2 linked regions of the Ovis aries genome follow. The protein of the gene in region 2 purifies or fractionates together with the protein of the main gene of each other region. This does not show direct contact. Links are inferred from orthologs where the notes say so. Each region holds a gene or a part of one and is shown on either strand. Other genes may lie near its edges. The genes, in order: STYX and FBXL12.

Region 1 (3,919 bases), on a different chromosome or scaffold from region 2:
GTGTGTATGAGAGAGAGAGCGAGAGAGAGAGTCTATATCTGTATATCCCTCCTTCCATTAAGTCTTTATTTATTTTTTGCCTTCTATGATTAGGCTGTATGATAGTTGATTGATTCAGTACATGCATATCCATACCTTTTTTTTAAGATTATGATTAAAAGTAATGTTTGCTATTAAATGTGACTTGGTTTTCTTGATTTTTGTAAGATGATAATTTCCTTTTGAGGTTTGTACACTCTTCTCAGAAAAACTTACACATATGTATACACACAATTTTGCATATATTAAAACTTGCAAGATGTATTATTTCCCAAGCTCACCCATGGACTCCATAGGTATCTATGGATACCAGGCTCAGAGTGTCTGATGTAGGGGATGTTGATGTCAGAAGTGTTCAAAACAAAAGTTCTGTTACCTATACACAATTCTTTCTCATATTATGTGGGAATTAAAGCTTTAACAAATTACAACAGGAAATCATCATTGGGCAGCAATTAAGATTATGTTATTAAAGGTGCAGTTAAAAAAAAGAAACTGTCTTCAGTTTAGTAAACACTGAAGAAATGAATATGACTCAGGTAATTATAAAATCATTCTTCTAATAAAAAACTTGCTAGCAGAGTAATATGTGCCTTTTTATGACTAAAAGAGAACCGTTTACAGATAGTGGTGAAGAAAATGGAGCCCTCAAACTAGCCAATTTAATCCTTAAAAAATTATTAAACAGTTCTATTTCTCTGTATATTTAGTGAGTTTCATAAATATGACTATAAAAAGTAATAGGATGTCAGGTTTAGGTCAAATATCAATGTGATCTTTTTTATTCTTTCCATTGTAATTTGCAGTTGTTGGGGCGCGGGGGGTCGTTTTTAAGAGTAAGTTTGGTGTACAAATCTTGAATGTTTTTAAGTGTGGGTTCCTCCACTAATCTTAATTTTCTTCATCTGTTTAAAAACAAAAAAGATACCATTATCTCCCTAGGCCCAGAGAAAGTGTTATATACCTGAACTTTATTAACAATATCGTATTAACTGATTCAAACTCCTTTTAAAAAGATATTGAAAGCCATATAGTTTATAGTTTACTAATACGTTGAAGTGTAATAAGCTTAAAATTAAAGGAAGAGACCTTCAGTATTATGTACAAATTAGTGAGCTATCAATTTTTCTAATTTAAGATTTTTTCTTGATATTTTCCAATTGTCATATTCCCAAGTATTGTTAAAAGTACACCGTTTCGGTTTGCTTAAAAGTGAGTGTTTCATTCTCTGTGTCGCATTACATAATTTTCAGGTGAACTCTTCATTACTCTTGGTTATAACCTCACCACAGATTGAGCAGGATTCTCAGGAAGGGAGAAAACTACAGTTTCCTTTCGTATGCCAGTTTCGTATGGGGGCTAGGATGTCTTCCCGGTTCTTACATCAAAGTAGGGATTTGCGTTGGGTCCAGAAAGGGCAGAGTTGTTTCAGATTATCCCACTGCCTTTCCCGGGACAGTCCGTTCTCCCTCCTGCGGCAGCCCCACCTCCTCCACATCCAGCGAGCTCCAGCCCGGGCGCCTCCGGGGCCCCGCCCCCCAGCGTCTGCGCGCTCGCGAAGGGGCGGGGCGGCGGCGCGCTGACACCTGGCGGCCGCGGGGGGGGCGGGCCGAAGGCAAGCGTAGGCTGGGATTGGCTGGGGCTGCGCGGGGACGGCGGGAGGGGGAAGGAGGGGAGACGGTTGTAGGGCTCGTGTTGGTGCTAGAGCTTGGGCGGCCTGAGGGGCGCGGAAGCACGGGGGGGAAGAAGACGGCAGCAGCATGGCGGCCGGATACGAGCCGCCCAACCCTCTTCCCGGCTGTCGCCGGAGTCGCCGGGACCCTATAGTCTGCGTGTGTTAGTTGTAAGCCCGCTGCCTCCCGGTCAGTCCTCCTGTCTACATTTCCTTTCACCGCCACTGCCTGCCCGAGGGTCGGCCGGCGGGTAACTCCCACTCCTACCCGGCCCCACCCACAAACCCGCGGGCCAGGACCATGGAGGACGTGAAGCTGGAGTTCCCCTCGCTCCCACAGTGCAAAGAAGACGCCGAGGTGAGTCTGGCAGTGACTAACACGCACAGGCCTCAGTGGCTCTTCGCCGAGGGGCGAACCCCAGGCCCCAACCGTCGCAGCCTTCACCTACTGGTAGCCCTGTTGCCTCCTGAGGGCGTCTCGGGACCCCGGGGCGGAGTCTCGCGCTCCGGGGCCGTCTGCCCCGACCACGGCTCCCGGAGTTCCTCTTCCCCTCCGGAGACGCCCGGGCCGGGTCTGGTCTGCTTACTTCAGTCCTTTTTCCCCCAGATTCGGCGTCGAGGACTTACTTGAAGTAAGATAACCCTTTTATTGCCAAAGCAATGCAAGGATATGTTTTTAATCTCATTTTGAGGGATAATCTTTGGTGTCATCGATTGACTTGTGGGACACATGAGCCCACGTGTGGAATTGATGTGGGGCCTGAACTTGGAAGTGTGCCTTCAACAAGTTTCCCGAAGTAGTTGGTTTGTTTTGGTTTGATTTGATTTTTGGTGTTTTTGAGGCAAACCGTGATCATCAGAGTGAAATGTCACGAAACTAGCTCATTTGAATCTGAAAACTTCAGTCAAAAAACTTGCCCTTTGGAGGGAAATTAATATGGGGAATAAAATTCTTTATAACTTGGTCTCCTGATTTCTAACTCGGGGTTTTTTTCATCCCACCTTACATCTTCCCTCCCTATCGTTTGTATTGCGTTTTCCCGCATCTATTCCTAGTTTAAAATGCTTTATGGTATTGGAGACTACTAAATTAGAAATTTTCTGAAGACAGAATGCGCTCTAGTAGTCTCAAGAAAGAAATGTTAAATTTCTGCTTTTAAGAGATCAGTTTATGGCAGGTATTCATTCTATTAAATGTCTTCTTTTGTGGTTGGTTCACCTTTTTTGATTTGGGGGATCATTTGCTTGTGATGATAATCCTTGAGAATTTCATGTTTTTAAGAGTAGATTCAAATAGGAAAAAAGAGAATTTAGGTTAGGTTAAGAATGATTTTATACTTTTTTCTTTTATATGGAATAATGTGAATGAAGAGTATGCTTATATATCCTTGAAATGATTCAGTAATTTCAACACTAGGCAACCTTAGAAATAATGTAGAGCTTTCCCACTTTTAAGATGAAGAAATTGTAGCTTACTAAGAATAAATGGTATTCCTAGTGCACCTTGGTGTCCTCGTTCTTAATTCATTGTCCTTTTAAATACACCTCAATTCTTCCCTGTTCTCGTCGTAATAGTTCTAGTTTAAAATGTTTACAGACTTTGCATCTAATCTTATTGAATGATAATACATCTTATCTTTGCAAAGATTGTAAAATTCTTAGGAACACAGCTTGCTTCTTTCCTGCTTGCTGCTTTTCTTGTGTTGGAGAGAAGTAATACTTAACCCTAGTACATAATGATATTCATATCATCTACTGAAAGCCAGATCGTTCCTTATTCTGTAGCATTGGATGTTTGTTATCTCTCAGTTACAAGGGACAGAAACCAGAGGAGCGTAAGTAACAAAGAAAAGAAGTAACTAAATCCAGAAAGTTTGGAGTGCAAACTGGTCTCAGACTTGACTGCAGCTACTACTAAGTGTTGTGTTGGAGAAGACTCTTGAGAGTCCCCTGGGCTGCAAGGAGATCCAACCAGTCCATTCTGAAGAAGATCAACCCTGGGATTTCTTTGGAAGGAATGATGCTAAAGCTGAAGCTCCAGTACTTTGGACACCTCATGCGAAGAGTTGACTCATTGGAAAAGACTCTGATGCTAGGAGGGATTGGGGGCAAGAGGAGAAGGGGACGACCGAGGATGAGATGTCTGGATGGCATCACGGACTCGATGGATGTGAGTCTGAGTGAACTCCGGGAGTTGGTGATGGACAG
Region 2 (3,919 bases):
GTATTAAAAACATATTTTGCCAGGGGATTCCCTGGTGGTCCAGTGCTGGGACTCAGCGCTTTTGCTGCAGTGCTCTGGCTTCAGTCCCTGCTTAGGGAACTAAGATCCCACAAGCTGCACAGTATGGCAAAACAACAAAGCCCCCAACAAACAAACAAAAACAATGTATTACCATTATAGGCTCTTGGGAGTGTGATTTAGTAAAAGCTATTATAGATATAATATATATATATACATATATATGTAATATATACTTTCTGTTTCTATTATAAATACAATCTATTTCTATATGATAAATCAAACCAGGAATTGGATTGATGTGTCAAAGGACATGCCTCATGCGAAGAGTTGACTCATTGGAAAAGACCCTGATGCTGGGAGGGATTGGGGGCGGGAGGAGAAAGGGATGACAGAGGATGAGATGGTTGGATGGCAACACCGACTCAATGCACATGAGTTTGGGTGAACTCCGGGCATTGGTGATGGACAGGGAGGCCTGGTGTGCTGCAATTCATGGGGTCGCAAAGAGTCGGACACGACTGAGCGACTGAAATGAACTGAACTGAACTGAATGTTTTTTAAATGAATTAATTGGAAAGTCATCAGATTAACAGTTATTACAGTGTAGGTCTTATTCGCCAATTATGTAGTTCTTTCCTCAAACAGTATGACAAAAATTCAACGAGAGTGTACTGCTTATAATTTTGAATAGCTTTTGCCAAATCACACTTTCAAGAGCCTATAATGGCAATACATGGTTCTTTGTTTGTTGGGGATTTTGTTTGTCTTGCCATGCTGTACAGCTTGTGGGATACTAGTATATGTTACATATATATGTATATATACTTTGGCCACCTGATGCAAAGAACTGACTCATTGGAAAAGACCCTGATGCTAGGAAAGATTGAAGGCAGGAGGAGAAGGGGACGACAGAGGATGAGATGGTTAGATGGCATCACCAACTCGATGGACATGAGTTTGAGCAAACTCTGGGAGTTGGTGAACAGGAAAGCCTGGTGTGCTGCCGTCCATGGGTTCCCAAAGAATCAGACACGACTGAGCGACTGAACTGAACTGAACTAATATATGTATATAAAAGAATGTTTAGCTCCAGTATTGTTTAGCTTACCTGGAAGCAACCTGAATGCTCATTAATACAGGAGTGTTTCAATAAATTTCACTGCCCTGATGACTTGGCAACTTTAAAAATGAGTGTTATATATGTGGAGCAAGTGTCAATTCAGGCTCTGTGGAGAACAGTTTGGCGCCATCAGTAAAAGTAAAAAATTCAGTGTCTTTTAACAAGCTATTTCACTTCTACAAATTTATTCTCATGGACAAAAAAGCACTATTAAGTAAAAAAATAGGGACTTCCCTCTCTGCCTAGAGCTCCGCTTTTGGTCCCGCCCTCAATCCCGCCCTTTAGGGCTCGGCATCGGTATTAGGAGCTCGGTCCTAACCTCCAGCCACGCCCCCAGTCTCGTTCTCGCCCTTAGCCCCGCCCCAGGCTCAGCGTCGCCCGAGCCACGCCTTTTTTGTTTGGCCCTCCTCTCCGGCCCCGCCCCCGAGCCGTGTTCCCACCTTAACCCCGCCCTTGACTTCGTAATCGCCTTAGCCACGCCTTCCAGGCTTGGTCCCAGTCCCCAGCCCCATCCTCTGTGCGGAGTTCTGATGCCGTGCTGGTCTGGCTGCCAGGTCCAGCCACGTCCCCTCAAGAGCAAAGCCGAAACCCCGCCAGCTACCGGAAACTGCGACCACCTCCCTGTCCGCACCCTCTCTTTCCCCCGCTTCTTAGGGCCCCCGCAGGGCGAGTCCCCGAGTTCCTTTAGACGGAAGCGGAAGTGCGTGTCAACGGGATCATGGCGACTTTTGCCGACTTGCCCGACTCGGTCCTGCTGGAGATCTTCTCTTACCTCCAGGTCCGGGATCGGATCCGAATCTCCAGGTGCGGCCGCCCCCTGCGGGAGGGAAGGGCCAGGCGGGGGGCGCACTAGGAGACGCACATCTGATCCTCGCGGGCCCGGGTCGTTCTAACGGCGGGTCCCCTCCCCCAGGGTCTGTCACCACTGGAAGAAGCTGGTGGACGACCGGTGGCTGTGGCGACACGTCGACCTGACGCTCTACACGGTATGCGGGTCTGGCCGGGCAGGCCTGGGCCGAGGTCGGGTTGGTCGGACTTCGAGGACCACGCCTCCAACCCTGTGTTTCGAGCGAGGCTCTCCCGAGTGCGTCCCGCCCGCGTCCCTTACTTGCTCTGCAGTGACCTCCAGGCCTCAGCTTCCCCATCTCCAGAATGGGTATAACCAAGGTCTTGCAGGAAAAGAGCTTACTGATGAGTTTTCATGGAGAAATTTTCTATAGTCGACTTAGTTCTAGAATTAATCTGAGTAGTCAACCAAATCATTTCAACTTTCTCCCGTTTGTGCTTTATTTATTTTTCTTTGTTGTTGTTCAGTCGCTAAGTTGCCCAACTCTTTGCAACCCTATGAACTACAGCACACCAGGCTCCCCTGTCCTTCACTGTTTCCCAGAGTCTGCTCAAATTCATGTCCACTGAGTTAGTGATGCTCTCTAACCGTCTCATCCTCTGCTGTCCCTTCTCCTTTTGCCTTCAATCTTTCCCAGCATCAGGTCTTTTCCAATGAGTTGACCCTTTGCATTTTTCTTTCTATTATGAACTATTTCAGATAGATATAGAAATGTATAGAGGATAATATCTGAAACTATGTACTCACCACCTAGATTTAATCTTTTTAAACCTTTGGCTTTATTCACTGCAGATCTTGTGAAATACACATACAAATGTTTCTATGCAAACATATGCATACAACATTTGCACATATGTTTCTTGCACTTTTGAAACCCTCCTCAGAGATAACCATGACTATGAAGTGGATTTGTATCCCTTCATGTTTTTATTTACTGCCTATGTATGTGCTTATCAGCAGTATACAGTATTGTTACTGTGTTTCTAAAATTGAGATAAAACTACTCTTTAGATAATTAAATGCTATTTTACTTATATTAATATATCCACCCATTAGCAACTTTATTCACACATCACTTTTGAGATTTACTCTAATTAGTACTTGTAAATCTAATTCATTCCTTTTAATTGCTGTTAAATGAATATACCACAGTTTGTTTCTCTATTTTCCTGTTGACAGATGGTTAGATTATTTCCAACTTTCTACCATCACAAACAGCTTTATAAGACCGTGTCTCAAACTTTATTGTACATATGAATCACCTGTTGGTGTTAGGTTGGTGTTGGTCACTCAGTCGTGTCCAACTTTTTGCAACCCCATGGATTATAGCCCGCCAGGCTCCTCTGTCCATGGGATTTCCTAGGCAAGAATACTGGAGTGGGTTGCTATTTCCTCCTCTGGGGGATCTTTCCGACCCAGTGCACTGATAGGCAGATTCTTTATCTCCAAGCCACCAGACTATTTTATTACGAAAACTTTCAAACGTATGTAATAGTTAAAAGAACAGAGAACATAGAGTTGCCCACCACTAATACTTAATACATTTGTTTTATCATCTCTTCATCCATCCATCCCTCTTTCCATCAAGCTTTTATTTTTCAAATGTTTATTTATTTTGTTTTCCCATTTTATTTTTTAAGTATGCTTCAAAATCAGTTACAGATGAGTCCACTTCTAAAACACTTTAGTACCCATAATAGAGATTAACTAGGACATTTGTTTTACATTTCTCTTTTTGAGGTTTTATTTTTTAAAATCACAGATCATGAATAATTCTTACAAAAATTGGAAGTAGTATAACTATGTATGGTGATAGATATTAACTAGACTTATTGTGATGATCATGTCATAATACATACAAGTATTGGTTCATTATGTTGTATGTATGCCTGAAACTAATATAGTGTTATATGTTAATTATATCTAAATTA

The links.
Region 1: the proteins of FBXL12 (region 2) and STYX purify together in Homo sapiens (affinity purification with mass spectrometry; 4 studies listed by BioGRID and IntAct, with this or other methods). This does not show direct contact. The link is inferred for Ovis aries from reciprocal best matches to the Homo sapiens genes FBXL12 and STYX.

The regions. Positions count from the first base shown.
Region 1 is NC_056060.1:11,435,083-11,439,001, reverse strand, and holds the start of STYX (serine/threonine/tyrosine-interacting protein), read left to right. Parts: upstream 1-1,758; 5' UTR 1,759-2,012; coding exon 2,013-2,069; intron 2,070-2,318; exon of another isoform or gene 2,319-2,343; intron 2,344-3,919. UniProt on the Homo sapiens protein: Catalytically inactive phosphatase. Acts as a nuclear anchor for MAPK1/MAPK3 (ERK1/ERK2). Modulates cell-fate decisions and cell migration by spatiotemporal regulation of MAPK1/MAPK3 (ERK1/ERK2).
Region 2 is NC_056058.1:12,269,314-12,273,232, reverse strand, and holds the start of FBXL12 (F-box/LRR-repeat protein 12), read left to right. Parts: upstream 1-1,608; 5' UTR 1,609-1,859; coding exon 1,860-1,945; exon of another isoform or gene 1,946-2,054; coding exon 2,055-2,127; exon of another isoform or gene 2,128-2,129; coding exon of another isoform or gene 2,130-2,225; intron 2,226-3,919. UniProt on the Homo sapiens protein: Substrate-recognition component of the SCF (SKP1-CUL1-F-box protein)-type E3 ubiquitin ligase complex.